2 linked regions of the Caenorhabditis elegans genome follow. The protein of the gene in region 2 interacts with the protein of the main gene of each other region in a pairwise test. Each region holds a gene or a part of one and is shown on either strand. Other genes may lie near its edges.

The links. Proteins that work in one complex are often made in the same cells at the same time.
Region 1: the proteins of moe-3 (region 2) and ceh-21 interact in a two-hybrid assay, tested with the Caenorhabditis elegans proteins (one large-scale study listed by BioGRID).

What each region holds. Positions count from the first base shown.
Region 1 is NC_003284.9:1,848,279-1,854,761, reverse strand, and holds ceh-21 (Homeobox protein ceh-21), read left to right. Parts: upstream 1-2,025; coding exon 2,026-2,085; intron 2,086-2,216; coding exon 2,217-2,628; intron 2,629-2,743; coding exon 2,744-2,840; intron 2,841-3,036; coding exon 3,037-3,199; intron 3,200-3,248; coding exon 3,249-3,685; intron 3,686-4,392; coding exon 4,393-4,711; 3' UTR 4,712-5,517; intron 5,518-5,691; 3' UTR 5,692-5,983; downstream 5,984-6,483. Other genes in the region: Homeobox protein ceh-39, read left to right, coding at 102-357; T26C11.9 (uncharacterized protein), read left to right, coding at 1,495-1,615, 1,664-1,821; ceh-41 (Homeobox domain-containing protein), read left to right, coding at 6,087-6,131, 6,366-6,483. UniProt on the Caenorhabditis elegans protein: Probable DNA-binding regulatory protein involved in cell-fate specification.
Region 2 is NC_003280.10:13,159,876-13,167,503, reverse strand, and holds moe-3 (CCCH-type zinc finger protein moe-3), read left to right. Parts: upstream 1-1,770; 5' UTR 1,771-1,848; coding exon 1,849-1,865; intron 1,866-3,282; coding exon 3,283-3,504; intron 3,505-4,046; coding exon 4,047-4,154; intron 4,155-4,479; coding exon 4,480-4,623; intron 4,624-4,891; coding exon 4,892-5,039; intron 5,040-5,321; coding exon 5,322-5,511; intron 5,512-5,581; coding exon 5,582-5,731; intron 5,732-6,709; coding exon 6,710-6,834; 3' UTR 6,835-7,089; downstream 7,090-7,628. Other genes in the region: F32A11.1 (Mitochondrial import inner membrane translocase subunit Tim21), read right to left, coding at 7,409-7,588. UniProt on the Caenorhabditis elegans protein: Zinc-finger protein that may play a role in oocyte maturation and fertility.

The sequences.
Region 1 (6,483 bases), on a different chromosome or scaffold from region 2:
TAGACCTCAGGCCTTAAGATCTAAGGCTTACTATAGGCTTCGGATTAAGCTTTGAGTCAAGAATTCGAAGAATTATAAACAAATAAATTAATTATTTTCAGCGACGAACGAATCCGACGCTTCACATTCACGCAAACCCAGCTCGACTCGTTGCATACAGTCTTCCAACAACAAGATCGTCCGAATCGCGAAATGCAACAGGCTCTGAGTGCGACATTGAAGCTCAACCGTTCCACCGTCGGCAATTTCTTTATGAACGCCCGCCGTCGTCTTCCAAAAGCTGCACCGGTCAGTCAAAACCTTGTCGCCGAACACGCCATTGATCACAATCAACCGGGACCCAGCCACCATTATTAAAAGCGCTAGCAATAGATGTAGTCTGCCAAACCATCACTCAATACGGTGTACGCTATTTTATGGGTGATTTTTAGTTTTTGCGTGTCATTTTTCAAGCTCACAGTCTCACAGGTCCCCCATTCACCGCTTAAATTTGTTCGTGTTTTAGCATGAACGTGTGTTTGAATTGTGTACAATGTACAGTAATTTCCTAATTTCAATAATTTTATAAGTTTAATATTAACAAAAAATCCAAAAACCTCCAAAAAAATTGAAAAATTCCAAAAATCCCAAAAAAAAAATTGACTACTATCGTTCTGTTTAATATAAAATCCTTGATTGTTTTAATTGTTAATTGTATTAATTCCCCATCCAATTCCCATACCTCTTCATTGCCTTATCAATTTTGTGACCGATCCCAATCCAGCCATAACATTTCAGCCATAACACATTTTTCAGATGCTCAGTTCAAAATATTTCACATTGTCACTTTCTCTTTAGCGTTGATTGTTATGATTATTGGTGTTTTCTTATATAAAAATCACCCCGCTGGAATTTTGCTGCACATTTTGGGCACTTTTGGCCACTTTTGCATACCATTGATTTTTGGGGGTTAGCCGACGAGAGACGCAGAGGTATTCACACATGTGGTGGCCTAAGATCTCATTGGTCTCTTGTTAGGCCATTCTGAAAGGCCGGTATTTTGGGGTATATTTTAGGATTTATCTGCTATTCAGGTAGTACAATTTTGAATTTGGAACGGAATTAATCAACCAGAGAAGACTTGCAATGAGTTTTTCCGGATTTTTTCTTCACTACTCCAAAGACACTGGTTTCAAGTTCAAATCTTGCACTTTTATGGTCAAAGGGATTAGCTGGAGAGTCTTTTGGTGGAATTCCAAGCGGTAAGTATTTTAGGAACATTTGAGCTCAACAATGGAGCGAGACTTAGGTAATCCAATTTTTTATTTTTCAGATACCGGCCAGCACATCACGCAACGGATCCGAAAAAAGTTGGCAGCAATCACACCCATCAGAAGCTGAACATCTCCTGTTGAGAGCAACACCTAATCGTTAGGAACCTACGACAAAAGGATCGGAGTCTTGTTCAGAGCACTCTTGCCGAAAACTGGCCGGCGCCTGATTTCACGAGATGCGATGTTGCCGTTGCTGTTCGGAAAAGTATCATGGTTGGCAGAACTTCCAGCACGTACCTCAACACAATACGGATACCATCAGGCAGCTAGCGTGGATCTTCAGTTATTATTTTTTCTGAGCGGTGAGTATATGTAGGTTAAGAATTCCTTTTCAATTTCTTGGTTTTCAGATCACACTTGGCTATACCAATGCCATGGTCTTTGTAGTCTTGGATCTCTTGGATCGTGGAAAGCCGACAGTTTGCTCCGTGGCGACGCTGAATCTGATAGAATCCACAGACGACTTGAGGAATGTGAGGAATCTACAAGAGAGCTCACACACCAATGAGACGATTGGATTTCCAAAACATGCTTGTCCCCATTTTTTCCACCAGTTTTCTAAATCCCTCTTGAATCATAAAAGAATATAAAAAATTTGCAAACCCAACTAATCATTATCTTCAAACTTTTTTTTCTTCAACTAGTGTTATTAAGCACGGCTTTTTTATCTTGTATATATTTTGCATTGTATTTTTACCATAATATTTTTTAGATGTCTCAGCAATTTCAAGCTTCATCAGGAACCGGGTCTGCCAGCCTACGCGAGTTCAAAGTGAGTTATTGAAATTTGAAGCGCAGAAATTGCTTTGAATGTTTTTAAGAAGGCTTCTCCTTTTCTAGAACCTGAGTTTTTGAAACTTGCCCAATTCCAAGTTCCATTTTGGAGCACGTTATGATTTTCAGACCGAACACGAAGATCTACGCGAAGATCTGCCGTACAGTACTCTGCGAACGTTGTTCGGCATCACTCTGGACAAGGACGCATCACAAGCCCTCAACATTGCGTTGCTCTTGTACGGCCACAACTACCCACAACAAGTGGTGCCGCCGGAAAGGAATTATGCGGAGCTTGATGCTCAACTAGAGTCGGTTGTCTTAGAAGATCACACTGCGGAGTCGACAATGGAGCCGGGAGTTTCTGCAACTGTTACTGAGCAACTCGAAGAGAAAAGCGACAAAAGTTCTGATGGAGATGGGACCAGCAAGAGGCTGACAAGAAGCTTGAAGTCTGTGGAAAATGAGACTGAAGAAGATCACGAAGAGAAAGAAGACGAGGCTCCACAGTCGTCACGAAGGGAGTCTACAAGACTGAAGCGTGAGTCGGAACAGTTTTTTGCAGTTGTAGTAGTATTAGTAGTTTCCTAGAACAAAACCTAAAATGACAAATACAAATACAGGGAGCATCTTTCATGTTTAATTCTAAATTTCAGGGAAGCTTCTCGAGTCCCAAAAGACTGTGCAAACCACCGGCAATTCTTCTCGCGCCTCTTCAAAATCCCAGGAAAAGGAAGTTCCTGGAACAAAAAGGTGAGTAGCTTTCGACGCAATACTTTAAAAACAGTAAAGGAGCAACATCTTTGATATGAATTTCTAGCTTTGAAACCTTGACGTAAGCAAAAATCTGAGAAGCTGCACAGAAAGCTTAAAACGACCAAATAAAGCCCAGCCAGGACTAGATGGGAGCGGGCTCCAACTCTGGAACATGCTCAATAATTTTTTTCAGTCAGTGCGCTCCAAAAATCAGAACCACTCCGGAACAGAGCAAGGCTGCAACCAAGCGACAATCGTCGACGACTGTCAGAGCTTCTTCAACTTGCGGCTCGTCGGTGTCGTCGACCTCTACAGTATCGTCTCCGGACTACACGGCTAAAAAGGGAAGAGCCACAGTGAGTTGCGAATTTGTTTGCAACAAGTCTGACATTTTCTAATATTTAGGAAACACCAAAGCTCGAGGAGTTGGCGCCCAAGAAGCAGAGCTCAGCAACTCCAAAACCAGGTGGTGAAGTCTGTGTCTGGGATGGAGTTCAAATCGGAGACCTCTCTGCTCAAATGAACGCGCAAATTGGCGATGACGAAGAGCTCGACACTGTCGACATTGCTCGACGTATTTTGAGCGAGCTCAAAGAGCGCTGCATTCCACAGACTGCACTTGCCGAGAAAATTCTTGCCAGAAGTCAAGGAACACTGTCGGATTTGCTTCGAATGCCAAAGCCGTGGAGTGTCATGAAGAATGGTCGTGCCACGTTTCAGCGTATGTCAAACTGGCTTGGTTTGGATCCAGACGTTCGCCGTGCGTTGTGCTTTTTGCCGAAAGAAGATGTTGCGCGAATTACCGGGTTGGATGAGCCAACTCCAGCAAAGCGTAAAAAAACGTGAGTTTTCTTTTCTTCCTAATTGGCTCGTGAATTGACAACACGTTTTGCTCATAAAAAAAACTATTGAACAGATTTTAAATGCCTTGCAACTTTTCCTTGGCGCTAAGGAACAGCTTCCTAAAAAATGAATCAGACCAGAAATAGTAGTAGCAGCGAAGTAGGTAAGCCCAAGTGCTTAAGCCTAAGCTCCGGATTTTAGGGGCTAATCCTGAGGGCCTTCGCCTGAGGGCCTACGCCTGAGGGCTTAAGCCTGAGGGCCAACGCCTGAGGGCCTAAGCCTGATGGCCTAAGCTTGTGGGCCTAGGCCGTGGGCCTAAGCCTGAGGGCCTACGCCTGAGGGCCTACGCTTGAGGGCCTAAGCCTGAGGGCCTACGCTTGAGGGCCTACGCTTGAGGGCCTAATCCTGTTGGCCTACGCCTGAGCCTGAGTGTTCGAGTCTAAAAGTCTTAGCCTAATGGCTTAAGCTTAAGTGCATGGGCCTGAAATTTTAAGCGCAAGTCCTAAACTTTTTAGGCCGAATCCTGAAGCTTTATCCCCCTAATCCGGAGAGCCTGTAAATCCTTGTTCACTGGCTTTTTTTTATGCTCAAATGGCAGTTCTGAAATTTTAAAGAATTGAGCAAAATATGTTGTCAATTTACCAGTCTCTCTTGGCTCAAATGTTTCCACTTTACAATCCACTTTACCAACCGTTTTTTTTTTCAGCGTAAAAGTCATTCGCCTCACGTTCACGGAGACCCAGCTCAAGTCCCTTCAGAAATCCTTTCAACAAAATCATCGTCCAACTCGTGAAATGCGTCAAAAGTTGAGTGCTACCTTGGAGCTCGACTTCTCCACAGTCGGCAACTTTTTCATGAACTCGCGCCGTCGTCTTCGCATTGACCAGCAAATCAGTCGCTCGTCTCGCTCGACAGGAAACGGAGCCGACACCGAGGATGAGCTCGACGAGGAAGACGTTGTCGTTGAGAATGTCATCGCCGACGCGACCGACGCGAGCAACCAACCAGGACCCAGCCACCTGTAGGTGTTCTTGATGCCTCTTTTCAAGCTGAAATTTTTAACGTGTGTTACGCCGTCATGGGGATTTTATGTTGTTGTGTGTCATTTTTGAAGTTCTCTCACAGGTTTTACCCCTTTTCTACTATCCATCTCTTTGCGTTATTCTGAAATTTTGTTGAGCACAGTATAGATTAGTTATACTCCTAATATCAATAATCTCAATAATCCAAAAAGCTAAAAATTGATCTACTCTCTTGTTGTCTTTTCTCTTTTTATTGTCTTATCACGTTTTTGACCGTTCCAGCTCAAGCATTCCAGCTCAAGCATTCCATCCAACCATTTCCAGATTCTCAACCTAGCCCATATCAAATTATTACACTCTTCCTCCCCAATGCTCACTGTTATGATTTTTGCCGTGATCTGATAAAAAACATTGCTCCGCTGGTATTATCTCACAAAATGTAGGCACCTTTTGCATTTCATAGATTTTTGGAGGTGACGGCAAGAGACGCAGAGGAAATGCACTTTGTGATACTCGCTGCCACACATTTGCACACCGGTGGTTATCCTCTCACCTCTGGCCTAAAATTATTTAGGATTTTTAGAATATTCTCTTGAACTTTGAGATTTTTTCGGGACCACTTTTTGGCAACCGAGCATTTGCAAAAAATTGTTGATTGGAGCTCAATGCAGCATCAAATATGGCTCCTGTACTCTCGCAATGGTTTTTTCCAATGCTTCGTGTTTTTTTTCCGAAGGCACTGACTTCAAAATTCGAGTCAAAACGACCCGTTTCGTTGGAGCTCTTTTTGGAAGTCAAAATTCCGTTAGGTAAGTGTTTCTTCGAATTTTATCAATAGTTGAGCTTGTGAGCTCTACAACCTTTTTTACAATCAATTTTTTGACTGGTGGGTGTTCAAAATCATTTTCATCTAGGTCTTGTGAACTCCACATTCAATGAAAAATGTGCTCAGAAAGTCAAATATTTAATTTTTTCGTTTTTAGGATACGGCTTCTGATGTGATGTCATCAAGGCGTCATTGGAATGAGTTAAATTGGCGATAAGTTCAACACAACCAAAATGTACGTGTACCGCGGCTGGAACAGAATCCAGAAATCACCAAGCTTATCGGAACAATAATTGGAAGACATACTTGGTGGAATGCCACCGTTAGAGTCGAGGCGTTGGAGCAGCCATAAATAGATAATCTCAATAATTTTGGTGCTCCCCCAATTCTGATTCCCAATTTATCTATTCAACTCCTCCAAATTAATAAATATTTGAAAACACTTGTAACAATTGGGTTTTTTTTCTTTTTTTCGAACAGTGTTCTTAAGCACGGCGTCCTTATCTTTATATTTTATCTATTTGTATTTTATTTCCATTATCATAATTTCAGATGTCCCAGCATTTTGTTTCAGGACCAACCTCTTGCGATCCTGAAGTGAGTCATTTTATCATTATTTTCTGGAAAGTTCTTGCAAGATTTCGTGTAAATTAATATTGTCAAAATGTTTTCTTTTCTAATTTTTTCATCTTAACAAAAATATCCTGAATCAAAAAAACAATGTGAGCTCTAACAAGCATCAGAATTGTGATTATATAAAGTATGTGCTTAATGAGAAAACTCTAACCTTTCTCCAAAGCAATGTGAATGTTATAAACTTCACATTTTCAGAAAAAAGTTGACTTGCCATTTGGCTCGCAGAAAACAATGAGTGGCATCATTCTTCGGGCCGACGTCTCACAGGCCCATAACATTGCACTGCTTATATATGGCCCGGACTATCTGCCTC
Region 2 (7,628 bases):
GTTTGGCTTCTTCATTTTCCCTTAACAATTTAGAATCACATTTTTCTGAGCTTCATCTAATATTTAAATTTGTGCCAAGCGTTCCTACATTGCAAATCAATTGTGTCTTTTTAGGCTCTAGCTTCAAATTTGAGCTCAGGAACAGCTGATCCATAGTTTTTAGTTTGGATCAAAACCTTCAAAACTTGTGTCTTATAAGGCGTAGGTTTGAGGTAGGCAAAAATATAGTTTTCACTTGATTTGGAGAAACTGAAAATTCTCAAAAATGTTCGTCGAATTTTATTCCGACAATTTTCAACTTACCGACAATTTTGGTGCATGTTTTCAATCTGGATTCAGTTGTTTTAAATATTTAAAATACAAGTTAATGTCTGACAAAGCAAATATAGTTATATGTATTTTTTTTTCAATTTTAATGACAAATATTGGGAGAAAATGCCACGCTAGCTCATTTTTTAGAATTTTTGGACACAAAAACATCAAAAAATTTTTGTAGAGACAATGCATATTTTACACGACCACAGCCACAGTACCCGCAAGTATTCTGATATGTATTTTGAACAATTATTCGATATTTTATGTGTTTGCAAAATTTTCCAAAAAATTGAAGCTTCTGAGTTTTAAATAGTGTCAAAAACAGGCAAGACAATTTCGAATCACTTGTAGGTGCGGTAACTGCAAATTTCAAGTTGTTTCGTAATCCGTACCAGGGGTGGGCAGCAAACGATCCGGCAAATCGGCAAACCGGCAAATTGCCGAAATTGGAAATTTCCGGCAAACCGGCAAATTGACGATTTGCAGAATTTGCCAAAAATTTTTTGCCCTTTTTTTTTTGGAAATTTCAGAACTTCAATTTCAGACAGCCGAATTAAGCACATCCTATGAATATTCCTACATTTATTTCAATAAGTAAGCAAATTCTGTTAAAATAACTAGAAAAAACGGGAAAAATTCAAAATGGCACAGTTTTAAGTGTTTACGTCCTGTAAATAATCCCTCTAGACATTTCCGGCAAATCTGATATCCGGCAAACGGCAAATCGGCAATTTGCCGAAAATGAAAATTTCCGGTAAATCGGCAAACCGGCAATTTGCCGATTTGTCGAATTTGTCGACAAATCAATTTGCCGAACCGCAATTGCCGCCCAGCCCTGATTCTATCGCATTTATTTTTGTGTCAAAAAGCAGAAAACTCCGCAACTGGGTAATTTTATATTTTATAGGGCTCCTAAACATCTTAAAGTTCTTTCAACTGGGGTTTTTGTAGGGAGCATCGCAGAATTTTGAAAATACTGGATTTTAAAATCATGTTTCTCCCTGTTCTATTACTTTTAACTGATATACCCCCTGATCCAATGATCTCCAATCAACTGATCGCAATCACATGCCCCCTCCGAACTAGCGGACACATGAATAAAAATCAGCTGTTAAGTCCATGTCGAACCCCTCGTATCTTGTGTAATAGACTGCTCACAATTCTTTTTTGTTCTTATCACCATCACATGAATTGTCATTTCTCGAGACCGGTTCTTCGCTTCTCTGCGTCTCTCGATCTCTCGCCTTATTTTCAGACCGTGTTTTTTACTTTCAAATTTCAGTTCATTTCAACTTCCCCTCTAAGTACATAACCTCTTCAAATATCAAATATTTTGTGTGTCATAGTTATGTTTAATCTTCTCTCATTTTCACTGTTCTCTCATTCTCGTTTATCCGCAACTGACCCTGAAATTTTTGTGCCCGCCGTGTTTTTCACGAATTTCACAGTTTTCAGGGGTATTGGCTGACCGCGACACATTCATCCCGTTTTTCAGATTTTTTACATATTTAATCAAGTCAGGGAAGGCGCACGATGAGCAAGGTGAAAGGGTGAGATTTTTGACGATACTTTTAGAATTTTCGAGGCTAAAATACAAATTTCCGGCAAATCGGCAAACCGGCGAATTGCTGAATTTGCCGAATTTGCCGGAAAAACGGCTTTGAAAGCTTTTTGGAAATTTTAGAATTTAAATTTTAATCGGCAAAATACTACGACTATTTTAAAAAGTAAGCAAATTCTATGAAAATATCTAAAGAAAATCGCGGAAATAATAAACATTTCTGCCGGAAATGAAAAATTCCGGCAAATCGGCAATTGTCGAAAATTTCCGGCAAATTGTGGTTTTGCACGGTTTTTTTGTTGGAAATTTCGGAATTTCAATTTTAATAGACAAAATTGCACGCATCAAAAAATCAAGGTTTTAAGTGTTTTCGTCTTATAAAAAAATCCCTTTAAACATTTTCGGCAAATCTGATATCCGGCAAGCGACAAACCGGCAAATTACCGGAATTGAAAATCTCCGTCAAAAAAAATGTGCCGACAAAAAAATTGCCGAACGGCAATTGGCCGCCTCTGTACATATATATCGACTAATTATTAAAGAAATATGAAAACATAAGAAATAGATGAAGAATTTGTCTAGTTAATAGGTAGGGAAGTAGGCACGTAGGTTTTTTGTGCCTACATGCCTATATGCATAGTGCATAGGGACAGAAAATCTGAAGTTCTAAAAAAATGCTTAAAAACTTGATTAAAAAGTGTATGATTTTGTGCCTACACAGAAAATTTGACTTTGTTTTTTTTTGTTTAATTCCAAACGCGTAAAGCTTTCAAAAATATTTGTTCTGAATATTATCCTTGCTGAAAACACTTTAAAATATATATTAAAGCTTCCTTAAAAGTTTAGTTGAAACCTCCATTTATTAAAAAAAAGTTTTAAAAAAGTTCATAACTTATTCAGTTGGTGTTCCATTGTGACATGGCTATATATTCTTGTCAAGAATATGTATATCTAATTAATAATTTTATTACCACAAAAAATTCCCTTCAAAAGTGTAAGCTGGAGCAATTTGAAAATGTGCAATTTTTAGAAATTTTTAATTTTAAAAGTCAAAGCAAAATTTTAAATAAAATTTTCATAATTGATATTAAATCAGTTTTTGTGCAATTTGTTAAAAGGTTTAATTGAAATTATTGATGCACTATATTTTACGTGTCACATTTTTTACAGCTAAAGCTGTAATTTTGAAAAAGCTTGATAAGTCTAACTAGTGAGATTAAGTGCACTATTTGTGAACAGAAGAGATAAATAAATATCCTGTTCGTTATCACTCGAACGGTTTTATCAGCCGAGATATAGTGGACAGAACAGTGACAACGCCAAAAACTGGCAATAATGATACTTCCTCCCCTCCCCATCCCAACTTTTTTGGATTATTTCATACCCACAACTTATTTATTTTCCAGAGATCTCGAAAAGTCTGACAAGCGTCCACCATCGTCCATGTCAACTGGTTCAGCTGACAGTGGTGTATTCTCATCGGGAGTTCATGCTTCATCACCTAGTCATAGTCAAGGATCATCATCGCAGAGTGGGCCACCGAGTCCTACTACTCAGTTGAACTCGTTGCTTTTTGAAACTGCTAACCTGATTGCGGTGAATGAGCAATTGAGAAAGGAAATTGCAGAGTTAGTTTTATTTTGTTGCTTGGCTCCAGTTTCTTGCGCAAGTTTTGCCCGAAAAAATTAACTTGGAATTTCGGCAATTGCCGGTTTTGGAAATTTTCGGCATTTGGCAATTCTGTGCAATTGCCGGTTTTAGAAATTATCGGCAATATTGGCAATTTCTGCATTTGCCAGTTTTAGAAATTCTCGGCAATCGGAAACTGCAGGTTTTGGATATTTTCGGCAATTGGCAATTTTGACAATAGCCGGTTCAAAAATTACATTACTTTGAGCTTGAAAAAAAAAAAGTTCATTAAAGTGCATGTTTAAGGTCCGGCAGTTCTGATTTCCGAAAACCGGCAATTCTGACGATTGCCGGTTTCGGGAGTTTTCTGCAATCGGCAAATTTGGCAGTTGCCGAAATTGCCGAAAGCAGAATTGGGCCAAATTTCGGTTAAACTTTGGGCCTAAATGTCTTGCCCAACTGTTGCCCAAGTTAACTTTTTTGTGCCAAATTTGGGCAAGAAGCTATGTTTGAAACCTAAACACCAAACACTGTTTTTCAGAAACAAGCAAATCCAGACGAACCAGATGCGAGCACTCAGATACTCCTCAAATCCAGTCGATCAGCCATTTGTAGCGAATTCGATATCACCACATCACGGGTTTCCACAGTGAGTTTTAATTATTCAAATTGTTAAACCAAAAGAAATTCAAAATCTTTTTGATTTGGAAAAAATGTGAAAAAACCAAATCAAAAACCATTGAAAAAATTCAAAGATAACGTACCAAGTTTCAACGCATGTATCTAAACTATTTTTTGTGATATCAAAAAGTTTTTAACTGCACTAATGTAGCTGATAATGTGATAAATATTTTTGTAGTTGAAAATGCTTTCATAGCGCTTAAAATAACTAAGATGTAAGGTGTCAAAGTAGTGGAAAATTTCCACAAAAAAAAACCATTTTTAGAGTTTCTCCTAATAATTACATTTTCCAGACGCCCCCCTCGCGGCGAACGGCGGATGCAAAAGCCCGAATCTTACAAGACGGTCATTTGTCAGGCATGGCTCGAGTCGAAAACATGCACTTTTGCTGAAAATTGCCGATTTGCACATGGAGAGGAAGAGCTGCGCCCGGCGAAGTGAGTTTTCAAAATTTTTGCGCATAACTTTTGGCGCAGGGGTGGACAATTTGCCGATTTGCCGGAAATTTCAATTCCGGCAATTTGCCGATTTTCGGAAAAATTCAATTCCGGAATTTTATCGATTTGCCGGAATTTCTATTCCGGCAATTTGCCGATTTGCCGGAAATTTCAATTCCGGCAGTTTACCGATTTGCCGGAAATTTCAACTCCTGCAATTTGCCGCTTTGCCTGAAATTTGACGCGCAAAAACCCTGAATATTTTCAGACTGGAATCACGACAAAACAACAAGTACAAGACGAAACTTTGTGACAAGTACACTACCACTGGACTATGCCCCTATGGCAAACGGTGTCTTTTTATTCATCCCGATAATCAGCCAAATGCATATATCAGAGCTGATAAGCTTTATGAGGTTAGTGATGGAGAGGTGGCCTAGAAAATTCAAGTCGGCTATCTTTTGAAACTAAAATGTATTATCTAGACTAGAAATTTTGGATTTTTTGCCCAAAATTGCGGTACCCGGTCTCGACACGACAATTTTTACTAGATTTTGAAACTACACTATTCTTTAAAGGCGCACACCTTATTGTATATTTGCTTCACCAACAAAAATATTTCGCGTCGAGACCAAGTACCGTACCTATGCCGCAAAAATCGCAAATTCCTGTAATTATTCAAAAACTCCAATTTTCAGGTCTCGCAGCGCCACGCACTCGCAGATTTACGGGATCACGTGGAATCACAGATTATGACAGGAAATACGAGAAACTCGTATAATCAACAGCCGCCACCGATGGGCGGTCTAGAAATGCAATCTTCACCGATGAAATCGAGTTCTGACTCCAGTCATATGCGTTCTCCAATGGCTCAGATGAATTGTGAAAGTGAGTTTTTTAAAATAATTTTTTAGAAAAAAAACAAGTTTCAATAAATTCCTTGAAATTTTTTTTTCAGCCACGCGTCCTCACCCTAGCTGGCCGTTGGAATCTTCGTCCTTTTTCTTGCCACCCGAAATGTCTTCAATCAATAATAATAATTTGATGAGCCCATTTGAGACGCCATTTCCCAACGGCTCCACGGGAATTCAACCACATTTTGTGACAGGTTAGATTTATGGGATATTACGGGAACACAAAATTCTGAGAATGCGTATTGCGCAACATATTTGACGCGCAAAGTATCTCGTAGCGAAAACTACAGTAATTCTCTAAATGACTACTGCAGCGCTTGTGTCGATTTACAGGGCACAGTCTCCTCCAGTGGAAATTTTGGTTTGTTGGCGCACTTCTCGTGCATCGCGTGCAAAATTGAGAAATTTCCGAAAACGTTCAATTTACTGTTTTTCTTCATATTTTTCATAACATAAGCTTTGGTGGAAGATTACTTTTCAAATGAACATCAAATTCCACTAGAAAAATGATGAAAAATATACGAAATATGAGAAAAACTCAATTTTTAGCGGTTTTTTCTTTTTATATCAGCGCTTTTATTTTTGAACCAAAATCAAAAATCTTTTTTTTTCCACCTTGCCCTTAATTAGCTTTACAATTGATACGTAATTAAAAAGTTTGAAATCGATTTTAAACCCGTGAAAACTGAAGGAAATCACTTTTCAACGGTAAAATTTTCCCACGCTCACGAGAAACGCGCAAGCCCCCTTGTTGGGTCATTTCCAGGAGGCTGTGCAGGGCTCTAGATTTTTGAAAAGAAATTCATTTCGAAAATCGAGCGCTACAGTAGTCATTTAAAGGATTACTGTAGTTTTCGCTGCGAGATATTTTGCGCGTCAAATATGTTGTGCAATACGCATTCTCCGAATTCTGTGTTCCCGTAATAAATTATTCCCCCATTTTTGTGTGAAATTTGTAATTTTTCTTGAAAAAACTTGTGAGCTTGAATTTCTCAAACTTGCGCGTCAAATACGAGGTACTAGGTGCAGTGAACCACAGAATCCGAATACTGTGCAAACACCGACACAAAGCGTCATATTTCACTCGCAAATTTGAAAGATCAATAATGGTTTTTTTTTTCGTGGAAAAAACACAAATTTCAATTTAAAATTAAAAAATTCCGAATTTTCAGCAAAACGGAGAGCAGCCTTTCCTCCAGTGCCTTCCAATTTCCAACAAGACGATGATAATATGTCATCAATTCCAGGATTCGACCATCTTGCAGAGGATATGGCTAAACATCTTGAATTGTGGTGACATTTTTCAGTTTTTTTTTAATTTGAAATTTGTTTGTCTTCCTTGTCTGTGAGTATTGTTCAACGATTAGTTACTAATAATATTTGAGTAGCAAGTGGTCCTAAATCCTTTTTTTTAAAGATTTTTAAATTTATAATAAAAATGGGACCACCTGATACACATCTCACTAATATTTTTTTCGCTTCTTTTTTTGAAAATTTTTTATCTCCTAATATTAATTATTTTTATTGCTCCCCCTAAATAAAGTTTTAATTTTATTTCACACAAGGGATAATACACGTTGCAAAAAGCGCAAAATCCTAAGCTTCTTTCTCTAAAAATTTTGGATGAGGTTGGTTCTTTTCTTTTTTTTTGGGAGGGAGAAACGGAATAAAACCGGAATATGGAGCAAAAAAGAGACGGGAAAAACGAAATTGATGCATACTGACTACGAAAATCAAAAAGAAAAGGCATCTAGAAAGTCGTGTGAACAATTCTGAAACAGGCAAATGTACAATTGAACGGGGACTTTTTGCAAAAAAAAAATTTGAAGGAATAAGTGAGTATTTTCGATCGAGATGCTCCGCACAGCTGCTCACTTTCCGATCCGTTGGCGGACCTTGTTGTACTTGTCCGTGAGCCGGTCCACTCCTGACGCGAATCGTCGATAGCCATTTTGCATGTGAGCAGCAATCGCCAAGACTACGTAATAGGTCTGTTGAGTCAACTTCACTCCGTAGAGAATCACGTCTTTTGTCACGTTGTAGAGCAGAACCTGAATAAAAACTGTTTTGTTTTTGAATTCAAAAATTTAT